Rhinolophus ferrumequinum: one gene and its partner. The protein of the gene in region 1 purifies or fractionates together with the protein of each later gene. This does not show direct contact. Links are inferred from orthologs where the notes say so. Each region holds a gene or a part of one and is shown in the gene's direction. Other genes may lie near its edges. The genes, in order: AGO2 and TARBP2.

Region 1 (8,703 bases):
ACCACCTGCTTCCTTCTCAGGAGTGGCTTGGCTATTTTTGTCCTTTACATTTCCACATAAATTGTCAAATAAGCTTGTCAAGTTCCTCCCCGTGATACAAAAACCAAATCTATTGAAATTGCATTGAATTTATCGGTCCATTTGAGGACAAGTGACATCTTTACCCTAGTGAGTCCCAATACAGGAACATGCCATCTCCCTCCATTTATTTAGGTCTTATTAATGTTTATAGAGTTCTGTGCAGAGGTTTTGCGTGTCTTTCATAAGATTTATTTCTAGATTTTTGATGTTTCGTTCTGTTTCAATTTGACTTTTAATTGTTTCTCAAAAGTATATAGAATGATGGTTAATTTTTAAATTTTGGCCTTATAGCCAAAAACCTTACTGAATGACAGTTTATCAGTAGATTATTTCAAAGAAACATGCTAGATGATAAGAATGACAGTATAAAGGAATTGTGGAGTTAAAAATTGGTACTTGTTTATGTTACATACTTTACTCCTTTGACAAATATTATAATGTTAATTAATGGTTTCTCCCTATATGAAAAATAGCTTTTATTTATCTGTTTTGACTCCAGGAAATACTTCAAGTTGCATCCTCCACAGCCACATTCTTCTCCAAGACCTTTTGTAGAAAATGAATTTGAGTTTGCAACCCTTGATGTTATAGCAGAAGCAAGACTTTGTGGCATCTTGCACACGCTGTCACTGTTTTTATTTTAGGCATTGTAGTGGGTGTGTATTGTTGTCTTACTGTGGCTGGAACTTGCATTTTCCTAATGGTCAGTGATGTGGAACATCTTTCCATCTTATTTGTTTTTCAGGTTACCTATTTGAGCTCTTACCCTCCGTATCTCCTCTTTAGTGAAATCTCTCTCCAGGTCTTTTGCCCCTATTCTAAATGAAGTTTGTTTTTTTACTGTTGAGTTTTGAGGGTTCTTTATATATTCTAGATACTTTGTCAGATGTGCGGTATACAAATATTTTCTCCCACTCGATAGCTCATCTTTTGACCCTTTTAACCGGGCCTTTCACAGAGCAAAAGCTTGAATTTTGATGAAGTCCAGTGTACCCACTTTTCCTGTTACGGATTGTGATTTTTGGTGTCAAGTGTAAGAACTATTTGCCTAGCCCTAGATCCCAAAGATTTTTCTCCTGATTTTTTGTCTGTTTTATGTTCACATTTAAATCTTCCCTCCATTGAGAGTCAGTTTTTCAGTGTCCTCACGTTAGTGACAGCTTGGTTCTTCTCTCCTTACTACACAGAAGAAAGAACCGTCGTGGAGCCAGCCGACAGTGTCTCAGGAGCACTGCTGGATGAGCCCCTCTTGCAGTTCTGTGTCCCAGTGAGTGATACCCTCTGCAGACCGCGGTGTCAGTGGCCTCGGGGTCTGTGCAAGGAGGCAGCCCTGACCGCCTGCCTCTGTTGGGTGCACAAAATGACAAAGTGATCTGCGTTCAGACTCAGTGGTTTCCGTGTGGAGAAATGGCTGCCACGTGGACTCTGTTCCTACTTTGATGGAAGTATTTGTCAATCCACAACCACACTCTTGGGTTTTCAATTCAGACAGACAGCTGATATTTTTATCCAAACGATCTTTAAACATTAGAGCTGCAAGAGATCATAGATTTCTACCTCAGTGTTTCCCAAAGTGTGCTCCATGGAACCCGAAGGTGCCCTGGGATAAACGGGTTCTGTCGCGGAATAGATTTGGGACAGGCTGCATAGGGTCTTTTCTCTTCCTTCCTCTTTGTAGAATCCTGATTCTTAATCTTTTGTTAAAGGCTCTGTGAAGGCTGGCGGTCAATAAATCCGTTTGGTGTTGTTTAACTGAATGATTCCCAATTTATTGGACCTTCTAACTCCTCTTTTATCACGTGCAGACATGTTTTTGGAACAATCGAATTATTCCAGTGTCGTGAAGAAGCGTAGGGCCTCTTGAGTTGAGAGCGTCGTGGGTGGGATGACCGCAGGAGGGCGCTGTGCGCTTGGCCTCCCCGCGCGGAACTGCTCTAGACCGCGGCACCCAATGCGCAAACCGGGGCTGACCAGCATGGGGGACCCTGGCAGTGATTAGGCCCTGCAGTCTTAGCAGAGCATAGGGACCCCTGTATCAGGGAGAGAGACTGGGCCCCGGAAGACCCGTGAGTCGGCCCTGTGGGGCCAACATCCAGGTGTTGGTTGAAGGCCTGACGAAACCGGGCAGCGGCAGTTGGATGCGGTTCTAGAGCCATGTTAAGCCAGAATTGAGTGGACTCGAGTAAGTGGGTTAAATGGATTCACGGATTGCGGTAGAGGTAGCAGGCAGAGGCCCTGGGGTTTCTTCGGTGGATGGTGAGTGTTGGCTCTGCTGGGGGCACAGGAGAAGGAGCAGGTGGGGAGGACGGCTGAGCTGCTGAACTTGGTTTGATGCTTGTGGGCCTGGAGCTGCGGGGCCGGGGGCAGGAAAGGGGTGGGATTCCTCAGCACAGGCAGTGGGGGGTAAAGTCTGGGAGAGGAGGGCACAGGGGAACCCCAGTCCTAGCAGCGGGGGGCAGGAGAACCCCACCCAGATCCTGGGCTCACGGGTCTGGAGGGCCCGGCAGGCCGCAATAGCGCTCCTCCACCAGCAGGGATCGCGCGTGTCAATCTCGGCGGGGCAGTGACACAAAGAAACGCCTGAGAGATACTATCTTGCCAGACCTCCTGCAAAGGAACCCTGGCAACAAACTTAAACCCGCCTGGGCTCTCCCAGAAGCAGGGCGCTGAGGGAAGGAGATGAAACAGTTTTCCGGTGGTTTCCAGAGGCCATAGGTTACAGCAGAAGCAGCAGAGCGTTTAAGCCTCTGAGTCATTGGGGATTTCGGGGAGGCGACACTGTGCTGGGTGTGTAAGACAGAGACACACCTCGGAGGGTCATGGTTCATACACAGTGGAGTCATGTCTGGTATGTTACAATGTTTCGGTTGTGAACTATAGTAAAGGTACAGAAAAGTATATAGAAAGTAAATGTACAGCTTAGGAGACTTGCCAAACCAACAGTAGTGGTACCGGAATGAGAGTGCCCGGCACCCCAAAATCCCCCAAGGCCTCTGGTCACAGCAACCCCCTGCCGCCAACCAGTACCCACCATTCTGATTCTTATGGTAACCACCTCCTTTTTCCTTAGCTCTTAATTACTTAATTATGCATCCCTGACCCATGTGGTTTCATGGCTCCTGCTTTGGAACTTCATAACTGGGATTCTGCAGGGAGTGTGGCCTGTGGCTTCTTTCACCAACATTGCTGAGATGCGGGTCACACTTAGCTGAAGGGTGTTCGTTCTCACTGGGTTCACCTTTATGAATATGTACGGCTCTCTGACCTGTTCCACGGCTGAGTACCTGGGTGGTGCCCAGTCCTGTGCTCGGGGTCGCACATTCAGCAGCCTGTCCACCTGGGGCCCGGTGGTCAGCTCTGCCAGACACTGGTCTTCAAAATGATTGTACTCAGTCCCACTCTCGCAGTAACACTCGAGGAAGAACCTGAAGGGGGTGAAGTAGAAGATTCTGGCAAAGCAGGTAGGGCTGTGTCACAGGGCACTGGAAACCAAATGGAGAGTGTGGACCACGTGCGTACGGAAATGGGGAGCCAATGAAGGATTTGGAGCAAAGCAGGCACAAGATCAGATGTGTGTTCACACAAGAGACTGTTGGGTGGAGAGTGGGTAATGGCGGAGAGTGATTTCAGGGGCTTTTCAGGTGCTCCAGACCACCTGGTCCGCCGTGAGGGTGGAGATGGTGGGCCGAGGATTAGAGAGTGATGGATGGGCATCTGGAAGACTGATTGATGTCAATGATTTGAAGATTGATGTCCCTTTAAGTTTCTCTCTGGAGGAAATGCTGGTTTTCCTGCCCTTCTTTAGGGAGATCCTTGAGGGTTGCCGAAGAACTGGTGATGAACCTATTGCATGCCGACCTCCTTGCAAGCGGGACTCCAGTTCACGTCCACGTTACCCTCCGCGGGAGGAACACGCCGCTCCTAGCAACCAGTAGCAGATGATACAAGTTTATAGAGTGAAGAAGCGAGCGAGCAAGGATGTTACAAGGTGATGAGCACCTCTGCACTGTTTCACCTACGATTAGGGGAGAAAGGAGGTTCCCGTTGGCTGCCCTGGAAAAGGCTCCAAAATACCGCTGGACCCCGGGGGACGTGAAGGACGGAGGATGTGGGTACGAGGGAGGAGTTCCGACGCAGGTGGGGCAGGTACAGAAACGCACGCAGGAGCACGATGGGGACCCGTGTGAAGAGCCTGGGGAGACCCCTGAGTGCTGGCCCGGGGAGTTTTAGTCTGATCGCGTCGTTGACGGCATCTGAAATTTACCGAAACTTAGTAAGAATTTTTTTACATGGATTTTCTGGGTTCTTGGCCGGGAGGTGGCGGTGTGGTCGTGTACGAGGGCCGGACGCGTTCCAGTTCAAACTCCGGGTGGGAAGCTAGCTTCCCGACATTCAGGTTTGGTTAATAACTTAAAAAAAAAAAAAAAAAAAAAAAAAGGCCAGGCTGAGACGCTGGGCCCCCAACCCGTGCCCAAGTGCACCCGGCCGGGTGGGGTGAGGATGGAGAGGGTCATGCGCGCCCCCCTCCACACCCCGCGAACAACCAGAAGGGGGTCCCCACGAGCCCGGAGGCGGCGGGGAAACAAGGGCTGTTTTCTCGTCTTTCTCCCAGGTCTCCGGCAGCGACGCCGAGCTGGCCCTGCTCCGCCCCGGCAGAGGCCACGTCGCCCATCTGAGTGGCTGTGAGGGGTCCCCCCCCCCCCCCCCCGCTCCGCGCCGCCCCCGTCCCCGTCCCGGTCCCGCCCCAGGCCGGGTCCTGGATCCCCGCCCGCCCCCAGTTTCCACCGCCCCGCGGGGTCCCCGCCCGGGCCCCCCAGACTCGCGCGCGCCCGGCTCCCCTTCCCTTCTCCCGCCTGCGCTCGCGCCTCCCTCCTCCCCCGCCCTCTCCTCCCTCGCCCCTCCCTCTCCCCGCCCCGCCCCCTCCCTCCTCCCCTCCCCCTCCCGCCGCCGCCGCCGCCTCCGCCCGCCGCCCGGGCCGCGTCGGGTAAACCTGTTTGGCCAGGCGGCCGCGCTGGGGCGGATCGTGCGGCCGGCGGCTCCCTCGCGGCTCGCGGCGTCGGGGCCCGTGGCGCGCGCGCGGCCGCCCCTCGGCCCCGGAGCCCCTCGGCGGCGCCACCATGTACTCGGGAGCCGGCACCGGTGAGTCCTCGCGCGCGGCGCGGGGAGCGGTTGGCGGGCGGGCGCGAGCGCGGCGCGGGCCGGGCCCGGGCGGCGGGCGGGCGGCGGTTCGGGGCCGGGAACCGGGGCCCGGAGCCGCCGGCCGTTCCCCGATCCCGGCGCAGCCGCTCAGCCCGGCCTTCTCGGGCCGGGTCGTCGGGGCGCCCCCGCGGCCTGGGCCTCCCGCGTCCCCGTCGCCGCCTGGGGCCCCGCGGGCCGGGACCAGGGCCGGGCGGGCGCGTGTAGGCCCGAGGCCCGCGTGTGGGCCCCGCGCCGCCGGGTCGGGCGCGGAGGCCGGGCTCTGAGCGCCGAGGACGCAGGCCCGGGTCGGGGCGCGGGGCGCGGGGCGCGGGGCGCGGGGCGCGGGGCGCGGGCGGCGGGAGAGGAGGCGGCGAGGCTGGAGCGCACTCAGTTTCGTTTTTCTTGTTGCCAGCACTTCTGCGGCCCCTTCTCTGAAGGAAAGTCTGCAGATGCTGAATTTTGGCCAATTGCTGTTGGTAGTTCGGATTGTAAACTGAGAGGGATAGGAAGCGGTCCCCTGAACCCTGAAACTGCATGCGGCTCAGTCTCATTCCAGACACGCCAGCCCCTTATTCAAGTGCTAATTGCCTTTTCCAATTTGCTAGGAGAGGTAAGGAGATGTGTTGATTTCCTTAGCACCCCTTCTTACTAGTCAGCCTTTTCCTTTGGAGAAGTTCTAAAAAACTTAAAATGCTAAAAGCGGTAACACATTGCCCCCACCTTTTTTAAATGCACAGTTAGAAGGACCATTGACTTGCTCGTCCAAGAAAATGGTCCAGTGTTATAAAGCTTTATCGCTGCCTCCCGCCAGGCACGTGGCTTCTAAATTTCCCGCTGGCCCTGCCACTTGCACAGGGTATTGCCTGTCCCCTTTGTCCGCCAGGCTGGAGCAAGCTGCAGGCCCCACGGGCTCCATGCTAGGGGGCTCTGGCCCTGTGCTAGGTGTGTCCCAGGCCTGGGCCCTTGACGGCCTCCTGCCATGGGGCCCTGGCCCCACCTGTTCCAGACCTGCTCCAGATCTCCAGTCTGGAAGCCCCTCTTGATCCGCTCGGGTCCCTTGACATTGTCTCCCACTGTGTGTCTGTTCACAAACAGATCTATGTCTGTGACTTCTGAGTGTCTTTTTTCTGATGTCACTTAGCTTCTCCAAGGCTGAGCCTGACAAACTCTTAAGGGCACTCAGCAAGTTGACTGAAGAATGACTTTAACCCTCCACCTGGGAGGGGACTCAGCCCTTGTGGGGAATGGGCCTGGACTCTTGCTGTTACTGTCCTGGGGCATATTTGGCTTCTTGAGATTCTGGGCGGTGCCCCCCACCCCCATCTGTGACTTGGCCGGGTCGCCCCTCTCCCAGATGATCCTTGTAGAGGACCCAGCAAGTGTTTGCTGCCCCACTGGACATGTTTCCTGGTTTTCGGTTTAAAAGTCGAAGGCCTGGAGAAAGTGAAGAACCTTGAGGAAGGTCAAGTTTTTGTGTTGTGTTTCACGGTATTGAATCTGCGGGACAGCTTGCTAAGTTGGTGGTGTTCATCATGACAGAGGCTCAGAGAGGTTAAGACCTTGCCAAGGTCATAGGACCAGCGAGCATTAGGACGATCTGTCTGATCCCCAAGCTGACTCTCTGTGCACTGTCCTCAGAGAGTAGTGGCTGTCAGTCTTTTGACTTTGACCCACAGTGAGAAATACCTGTTACATCTGGACTAGAGTGGGGTGTGAGTACACACAGGTATCGTTGAAACTGGAGCTTCTGGAGGCACCGCTCACCTTACTGCATAACCTGCATCATGAGATTTCCTCGTCTGTTTCATTTTTTTTTTTAAATGCTTTAGTCCCGTCCATCTCCTGGCTCCCTTTTCTGGTCGCTGAGGGCTTTTGGAAGACTCTTGCTGTGGTGCAGGCCTCCGTGCTGTGCATGGTGGGAGAGGGCCGTGCTGCACAGACCAGCGTGCCCTGCAGCCGGCCAGCGGAGCCTGAGAAAATAAATGGGTCTGGATAGTTCTTAGATAATGGCAGGATGGGACTGAACCCAACTTTCAAGCTGTATGAGTGAGCTGTAATTACAAGGCTGTGGTGGCACACGATTTTATTCTACACACTAAGGCTTTTAATTTTTGGACTAGAGTCTCCTCAATGAAACTCTTTTTAATATTATATTTCTTAATTTAGAATAACGAGAAGACATTCGATCTGGATTGTACAAAAATTACAAACAGTTTTGCTACTTCCAATTTTAATACACTTACTAAGCGACTTACCCAGTAAATTAATTTTTAAAATAGAGTTCACAGTAGGTCTCTTATGCCCATCGTCACTGCTCGAGCGCATGCGTGAATATCTGGACTCTCAGGTTAGGTATGTTACTATTCGTCTTTTGTTTAACTGTTCGAAAGAGTTAGTGGTTTGGGGTGGGTGGATTCGCCAGTGACCGTGAACCTTCCTGGGTGAACCAATGAGTTTCGTTTTGTTTATTTAACCCTTTCATGACCTTAGCCTGTGTCTGAGCAAATGCCTTCTGTGAGGGCATCGTTGGTCTCACTGTGTTTCGACTCCTGGGGGTCACCACTCCACTCAGATAGGCTACAAAGTAACCTTGGGGACACCGAGGCTCCTTGGAGAATGGTCCAGGCAGGATGGTGACTTGGAGAAGTAACGGCTTCCATCGTGGTTTCTAACTCCTCCTGCACCCCACTTCGTCTCCCCACCCTCGGTTATCTCAGGGAAGATAGGACCCATCTCCCACTAGTGGAGCACGCGGGCCATCGCGGCAGATGGCCTCTGCCCTGGTGCGGAGGGCGGTGGGTAGTTGTACAGAGTCCCCTTGGATCTGTTACAAACCTTGAAGAAGAAGTTAAATAAGTGTGTAAGGAAAAAAAGTAAAAGCCCCAACTCCTAAAGCCTGTTTAGGAAGCAGAATATTTTTCGTTAACTTCTAGTTTCAGTGTTACAAGTTTTAACAATGCCAGTTGGGTTTCTTCTTTATGAGGTATGCAACCCTACTGTAAAGTGCCAGTCTGGTAAAATATATTTTTGTTTCTTGAATTGTTAGCGTGAGCCTTCAAAATATATCGCTTAATTTTTCAAAACACTTTCTATTGTGAACTAATTGAAAATACACAAAAGTAGGGTGACTACTGCAGTACGCTCCCGTTTGTCCATCAGCTTCAACAGTTACGCACATTTCCCAGCTTTGCCTCAGATACACCCCTTTCCCCCTTTTCTTTGCAGCAGTATTCGAAAGCCAGTTGTAAGCCTGCCGCCTCAGCCCTAGTGCTTACGTCCCATGTCTGCAGGGTGGCACTTTCTCAGCCCAGTGCCATTATCTCACTTAGGCCAGACTCGGTGTCTCATTATCTCAGAAGTTTGTTGACAGGTGGTGGTTGTGGCTCCTGGATTTGAATAAAAGTTCATAGAAATTTGGTTTGATGTTTTCTGAGCCTCTTTAAT
Region 2 (7,770 bases), on another chromosome or scaffold:
GTGCTATAGAGAGAGGGTGGATAACCTGAGAATCAGAGGCTTGGTTGACATCCTGTCTCTGCTCCTGACCATTTGGGCAACCTGGAGTATGAGACTTCTTAACAAACCTCACAGGTCCTTCATCTCTCAGTGGGGACAGTGATGCCTATGACACACAGTGGTAATGCAATATACCTGGGGGGCCAAAAAATATATAATATATACACGACTTGGATTCATCTTTTGTTATTGGTATATATTGAATATTACAATTTTAATAGTTTTTCCCTTTCTTAAAATATATATACATTGTTTTGGCACCCTCTGTCTAATGTGGTAAGAACACAGGCTCTAGGTCCAACAGACCCTAAGCTCTAACTATATACTGATTTTTTCACTTTGAACAGATTACTTAAGTTTAGTTTCCTCATCGCTAAAATAGAGACAATGATAACACTACCTAATGCTTAGTCCTGCTATGCGCATTACTGAGATAATTCAAATAAAGTTCTGGGCCCAGGACTTGGCACCCAGGAAGCCCTCTCTAAGCATTAGCCGTGTGGAAAGTGCCTGACAAGCACTCGTGGGGGTTTTATACATGTGATTCCTATTCCTTCTTTCCCTTTTCCTCCTCTGCAGAGCAAGAGGCAGTAGGGAGGGTACAAGTGGAAAGGGAAGTGGACAAACACGAGAGGGGAAAAAAGAGCAAAGAAAGAAGACGGCAAAGGACGAGGGCTCTTTATCCTGGGTGAGCCTGGGTCTCATCTGCAATGGCGTCCCTGCCTCATCACCTCCTCCAACACACACGACCCTAGTCCTTCTGGGAGCAAATGAAGCCGACAGACCAGTCTCTGTGGCCAATCCCTCATGACACAGCCCCTGCGTCCCCTACTCCATCAGCTCCACATTTTACTCCTTCTGCCCCAGCAGGGACTCCTGCAGGGGTTGATTCCCTCATCCCTTCTTTCTCCCCAGCCCAGGCAGGGGAGACATAGTTGAGCACACGTGAGCCATTTTGCCACTAGGTGAGTCTAGGATGGTGGGTACTAGCAAAGCCAGACTACCATATGTCACCTCTAGGGGAAGGAGTGGGAGACAGCAGTTGGTGTTTGGAGGGGTTCTTCCATCCTCAGCAGTAAGGACACTCAGGAAATCCTGAGCCACTTCCTTACTTAAATTTCTTGCCTCCTCTGCCCATATCTGGGTTTAATTAGGGGATGGATATTTAGTTGTGTGTTTTTATGTGTGCTGGAGTTTAGGCATCACACCGTTGGTCTTCTTAGCATCACCTCATCCCCACTGTGAGTGGGTGAGTGGCAGGGTTGAAAGGACAGCTGCTTTTCTCCAACCTTAAGTGTGAGGTAGGAGAGAGCAGGCCCTAAAGCTCAGAGGAACTTCAGTGTCTGGATAGGAAGGCCCAGGGCGCACTTGGGCCCTTTCCTTCCTCAATTCTTTCTGCTCGCCTACCCGTGGTATGACCCTCTTCCCTTAGTATAACCCTCTGGCCGAAAATCAGAGCTCCCAGCACCACGGGGTCCACCCTGCAAGTTGGAAGGGAGCTGTGAGTTGTTTAGAGGGAGGCACTGACTGGCTTGAGAGGACTCTGGGTGGGGGAGAGACCTCATGTGCACTCTCTCCTGGTTGAGGGTAAGTCACCCACTCCCCAAGAGAGCAGGACACCCCACTATTTCCTTCCACTGTCTGTGGAGCCTCTGGCCCCTTCTCTTACCTCCCCTCAGCCAAGGCCGTGGTATCAGGAGTCTTAACTCTGTGGAAAGGATTCTTGCGTATTTTTAAGCCAAGGAGTTTGAGGAAGGAGTGTGTGGGGAAAAGGGAGGAGGTTCTGAAAGGCCTGGGCTGGGGAAATGGGTTAGGGGCGCCAGAGGAGATGGAGAGGAGGAGGAAGGAGAAAGCCACATCTGAATGGGGGAGGGGAGGATGCAACAGCTGGATGGAGGTGAATGCCACAGCTGGAGGGGATTAGGGGCTTCACAGTGGGAAGGGGAGGAGGACCATCCCTGGGCATCCAGGAACAGGTGCTTTTTGCCTATAATCTTCAGGTGCAGCCCGATAAGTGTGTGTGGGAGGAGGGTGAGGGGCTCAGTGGGCACATAAGGCCTTGTCCTTCCTTTCCTTCCCTCTCAGGGACCAAAACTCTTCCTCCTCCTTCCCTCGCCCTTCTTGCGGATGAGTGGGAGGAGAAGAGGATGGTCTCTTTCCCGCTGTCCTTTAAGTCTGTTCCCCAGTCATCTCCCCACCCCATGCAGTCCTTTCCAGCTCTTCAGGCCCTTCATCTCCAAGCTGGGCCGCGGTGTCCCTCCGCTCCGTTCCCCTCCTTTACACCCCCACAGGCGTCGGGTCCAGGTCCCCAGTTCCTCCATCCCCACAGCCTCAGCATCCCCGTTCCACCTTCCCCCACCCCGCCACATCTGCATCCCGACCCTCCCTCGGCACCGGGATCACAGGACCCGGACCCATCCCTGCCACCCACCCCCCACAACTCGGCCCGGCTCTCACCTCAGGGGCTCCGCGGCCGCAGCACAAAAGGCGGCGCTGCTGCAGCTCGGCTCCGGATGCTGCTCCCGCCTCCTCCTCCACCTCCTTCTCCTCCTCCTTCTCTCCTCCCCCCCGCTGCCCTCGACTGGACCCGGGGCGCTGTCACAGGCGATGCTCGTGCAGTGTCCGGGTGTACGCCCCAGATTTCTCCCCCCACCCCCCGACCCCTAGCCCCGTCCCCACTCGGCTTGAACTCCCGCTCCTTCCTAGGCCCCTGCCTCTAGCCCCCCGGGACGGACACGCCCTGAGCGGGGATGCTGCGCTGGAGCCGTCGGCCTCTTAAAGGAGCCCGCTGCAGCCGTCCGGTGTGCTCCAGGCTGGATGCGGCCCGTCTGGACCCCTCACCTCCCTGCTGGCGGTCCCACCTTAGGCATTATGGTGATTCCGTAGGAGCCTCCTATGGCCGGTCTTATAAACTCCCTCCTATACCCTGAGACAGTAGCCCCTCAGATGGGACACCCTCCTACCCCCCGCTCTAGAGTTGCTCTCCTTGTCATACTAATTTTGCTAGCTCTCCATCACCTAATTGTCACCACTCCAGTTCCACCCAATGGGAATCCACTCAGCTCAGTGCTCTGTCCCCATCCCGTGTTCCTGGATGACCCCTCATTATCATTCCAAAATTCCTTTGGATATCCACCTCAGACCAAGCCGTGTCGTCCCTGACCCATTCTCAGAACACTCATTAGAATCACATTTTTCGTGATTTCTTTCTCTCCAAGGTCACAAGATTTCCCCCTATCTTTCAGCCCAGTGGTTGTGAGACTTTGGGGAGGAGGGAATGCTCTGACAGCCAGATTAGTCGGTTAGTTTTAGGAGGCCAAAAACCTTCTCTTGCCCAGAGAACCCCAAGACCCACGGCAGAGAGAACAGAACCACCATTAGTCCTTCCAATTCTGTCGTCCCACTACAGTCTCATCCTCAGGCTTCAGAGGACGTCTCCCGGCCAGCGACAGAAAGGTTCACTACGGCCATTCTAAAAAGGCTTTAAAAAAGAAGCGTAAATCCGACAGGCTGCGGGGCACAGTTAAGGGGAAGAGAAGTGAAGGACAACTTAGGAAAAGAAAGCAGGTTCTGTGACACGAATGCCCGAGGGCCAGGGGCTTATGCCGAGGGCTGAGGCGGAAACTGAGATGGACCTGGACGAACAACTGCCCCCGCGCTCTGAGGAGGGCTAAGAACAGTCCCCTCCCGCGTCCTAGTAAGGCCCACCCTTCCACCCTGTAAAGAGGAAGGATCCGATAGCAGTTTCGCCCCTAGACCAATCACAACCTTTTCTCAAGAAAGAGGCAGGATCAAGGGAGATGACTTTCCTTGTCCCTGCCCTCTAGGTGAAGTAACCAATCGCAATCCACCTAGAGCAAGTAATCGCAATCGGAAATAACCAATTACGCCGGGCAGCTTCTCGTGCATGCCTGACCCTGCCCCTCCAGCTGCGGCAAAGATGGCGCGCGAACTCCTGGGTTCTGTAGTTTTCTCAGGAGTCGAAGGCCCCTTTCCCCCACTACTCGTTAGCCCTTACCACCCCGCCCCCAGTCGCTTCCACTCAGCTAGTGCGCATGCCCACAGCGCCCGCCCAAGAGAGAGGAGACGCGGAAGGAAGGTGGCGGGAACGATATTAAAAAAACAAAACAAAAAAACCACTTCTCAGCTCTGGAAGCGACTGCAGAAAGATTCGCTCCTCCCAGAAGGAGGTGCTGGCCGCGAGGGCGAACCACGCGGAGCGTTGTGGGGCGGAGAGCTCCTGATGGAGACTCAAGGAATCGGGTGGGCGGGGGACTCCATATCCCAGCATGCCCCGCGGCGGGCCCGACCGGCCGCGACTCCGGGCTTGGCCCCGGCCCTAGCTCGTTGGCGGTGTATTGGGGCGCGTGGAGGCAGCAGTCACGGTGGCGCCCGCGGGGACGGAGGAGGGAATGAGTGAAGAGGAGCAGGGCTCCGGCACTACCACGGGCTGCGGGCTGCCCAGGTGAGCCGCCTCGTGCCGATCGCTGCAGGGCGAAGAGCGTGGTGCGATTTGGGGGGGTAGCGGCGCGGCCCCGCCCCAGCATGCATCTGGCCTGGGGGTTCTTCCCGGCAAGCACTGGGGTAGTGGGCCGTGGTTCCCAGCATGCACCGAGCAGTGGCCAGTGTCTCTAGCTTGAAACAATTTGGGGCTGGCCGAGTCTCCCAGATTGCACTAGGGCACTGGGCTGTATGCCCCCCGACGTTCAGTACACTTGGTGGGTACTGGGTTCCTGGCCTGCACTGTGTCAGGGTACGTGCACTTCCAAGCTGCACTCTGGTACAGGATCCCCCGCCTTAACTGAGACAGGAACAGTGCATTCCCCGCTTGCCCCGGGGCAGTGGACCCTGCTTTCCCAGCCTGCATCTCTACTCCAAATTGAACCCAGCCAATGGCTGCTGTACTGCCTGGGGTCCCGTGGACCCTGTGTTCCCCATAGTGTGCTTGGGTCTGATAAAACAGTGCTTGGCCAGGTGGGTGCAGAGAGGGGAGGTGTGATGAGGGTCTGTGCCCCTACCCCAGTATAGAGCAAATGCTGGCAGCCAACCCGGGCAAGACCCCGATCAGCCTTCTGCAGGAGTATGGGACCAGAATAGGGAAGACGCCCGTGTACGACCTTCTCAAAGCCGAGGGCCAAGCCCACCAGCCTAATTTCACCTTTCGGGTCACCGTTGGCGACACCAGCTGCACTGGTGAGGAAGGCTTGGGCAGCCTAGCTGGGGTGTGCGTTCACAGGGCCCCATTGGCTTTATTTTTTGGAATCTCTTCACAGTACTTTTCTTCAAAGGCCAGTAAGGGAAAGAATTTTCAGGGGGAAAGGCCACTGACTGGATTGGGAGAACAGGTCTGTGAGGAGGTGGGTAGGGCTTGGGAGAATTAGAGGAACAAGCAGGACTGCCACCGTGACCTGGTAGGTCATCATCATCCTAGAGGAAAAAGTAAGAGGAGATAAATGGAAATCGCAGTGAAGTATTGGGGAGTGCCTGCTGTGTTCTAGGTGCTTAACCAAATTCCTACTTAATCATAAGCCTCAGTCTAATCCAGTAATGTAGGGGGTGGTATCCTCATGTTGAATTTGAGGAGATGGAGGCTCAGAGAGATCCAATGACTTCTTCACATGCTTAGTTAGTGGCAGAGCCAGGCTTTGACTCTAGAGCCTACCCTCTCTCTATTTTTTCAGCCATCTATTTATTGAGAGAAAAGAAAGTGCTTCCCAGAGGAAAGTAAGGCAGAGAAAGAATCTCCACCTAAGGTGTCTGAGCTCAGGAGCAGTTCTTGATTTGGGGAGCTCATGGAAAGATAAGGGCCCTTCCTTCCAGCAATTAGTGTAACACTTCCAGTCTTGGGCAGGGGGGAGGTTGGTGAGAAGGGATTTGGTTGACTTCCTGTGGTTGTGGGGAGAGAGGCTGTGGGATGCTGGTTTCTCTTCTGTCCTTCCAGTGATCTCCAGTATTGCCCACACCCCCTCTCTCAGGTCAGGGCCCCAGCAAGAAGGCAGCCAAGCACAAGGCAGCTGAGGTGGCCCTCAAACACCTCAAAGGGGGGAGCATGCTGGAGCCGGCCCTGGAGGACAGCAGGTGAGGGAGGAACAGCTGCGGCATCCTAGAGGCCCTGCCAAGAGCCCAGGCCCCTGCACTAGCCCTCTGCCCACTAGGCCTGGCCTGGTGATACTTAGCCACCTTGACCTGGCCTCTTCCTAAGACTCCTCTGGACTCGAGCAGGAAGCTTCCAGGGCTCCTGCTGCCGTGAAGGATTCTGGGGGGAATGGCCAGCCCCACTGAGGGACTGTGGTTTGGGGCTCAGGCTAGGGAGGGAGAGGGGTGGAGGCTGAGGGAGTTGCTCCCCAACATACCTCCTCTCTCTATCAAGGTGTCCTTCCCTCTTCTGCACTCAGGTCAGAGATTGTTGCTCCCATGGTTCTTGGGTACAAAAAGACCCTCCTTTTCCTTTTCTCTATCTTTTTGATCTGGTAATTTGGCAGCAATGGATCCCAGGAGGAAGAGCTGGTGGTTGAGCTTCTCTGAGTCTTTGGCTCAAGTGGGAAGGACTTTTCTTAGGGGATGGGCAGATCAGAAGGACCTGGGTCTCCCACCCTTCCTTTACTCCCCCCACCCCACATGGGTGTGAATCAAAGGCCCCCTTCCCCTCGGGAAGTTCTTTTTCTCCCCTAGACTCTTCACTGCCTGAGGACGTTCCAGTTTTTACTGCTGCAGTGGCTGCTACTCCTGTTCCATCTGCTGTCCCAACCAGGTATCTTGTCTCCTGACTGCCTGAAGGGGGGAGGAAAGGGTCCTGGCTGTTGGTCCTCAGCCCTTGGACCCAGGCTGGCCAGGCATGAGGAAGTTTGAGAATAAACAGAGTCTGGAGTAATTGGGGACCAGACATGGAAGAAGTTGCACTAGCTGGTAAGCTCTTGGGAGAGGATGTAATTAATGATTTTTAAATAGCCATATGGATGATGTTTGACTATGTTTAAGGGTCTTGCAGGTACCATTTTCTTCTGAGTTGGCCCCATGATAGTCCTGTGTTTGAGTCCCATCAGGTGCTTCCAGGGACTGGATATACAGCCCCACTCCCACTGTCCTGGCGAGGTGACGATCAAGTGTTCTAGAAAATCGAAATGGGCCTGGGACCTGGAGGAGACCTCAGTTGTGGGGGAGGGGGAAGGAAGCAGTCTGGATGTTTGGACAAACAGCTGACTGCCTGGCGGGAAGTAGGGAGATGGTAGTGGGGAAAAGCAAAACAAGGCTTAGGACTCATGGGCAGCCTCAGAAGGAACGAGCTCCCTCAGCTTTGGCTCCGGGCCCTTTTTCCCTTAGGAGCACCCCCATGGAGGTGCAGCCCCCCGTCTCCCCTCAGCAGTCTGAGTGCAACCCTGTTGGTGCTCTGCAGGTGTGCCCCCTGTCCTCATTTCCTGTGCATGCCTGTCTTCCCTTGAACCAGGGGCCATGAGGGAAGGTTATGGGGTTGGTTACCCTGTTCTGAAGGCTTTTTCCACACCTTTATTCCTCCTTTAACCTGGAATCTGAGGCTCCTAGGGTAGGAGGGAGAGGATGTTTGGATTCTTTTCTCACTTGTCCTTGTGTACCCTTGTTTCTCCCTTCCAAGGAGCTGGTGGTGCAGAAGGGCTGGCGGTTACCCGAGTACACGGTGACCCAGGAGTCTGGGCCAGCGCACCGCAAAGAATTTACCATGACCTGCCGAGTGGAGCGTTTCATTGAGATTGGTAA

What was found.
Region 2: the proteins of AGO2 (region 1) and TARBP2 purify together in Homo sapiens (co-immunoprecipitation; 10 studies listed by BioGRID and IntAct, with this or other methods). This does not show direct contact. The link is inferred for Rhinolophus ferrumequinum from reciprocal best matches to the Homo sapiens genes AGO2 and TARBP2.

What each region holds. Positions count from the first base shown.
Region 1 is NC_046297.1:71,129,880-71,138,582, reverse strand, and holds the start of AGO2 (protein argonaute-2), read left to right. Parts: upstream 1-5,105; 5' UTR 5,106-5,198; coding exon 5,199-5,220; intron 5,221-8,703.
Region 2 is NC_046293.1:53,364,961-53,372,730, forward strand, and holds the start of TARBP2 (RISC-loading complex subunit TARBP2), read left to right. Parts: upstream 1-4,098; 5' UTR 4,099-4,451; coding exon 4,452-4,504; intron 4,505-5,062; coding exon 5,063-5,232; intron 5,233-6,014; coding exon 6,015-6,117; intron 6,118-6,694; coding exon 6,695-6,790; intron 6,791-7,359; coding exon 7,360-7,432; intron 7,433-7,648; coding exon 7,649-7,766; intron 7,767-7,770. UniProt on the Homo sapiens protein: Required for formation of the RNA induced silencing complex (RISC). Component of the RISC loading complex (RLC), also known as the micro-RNA (miRNA) loading complex (miRLC), which is composed of DICER1, AGO2 and TARBP2.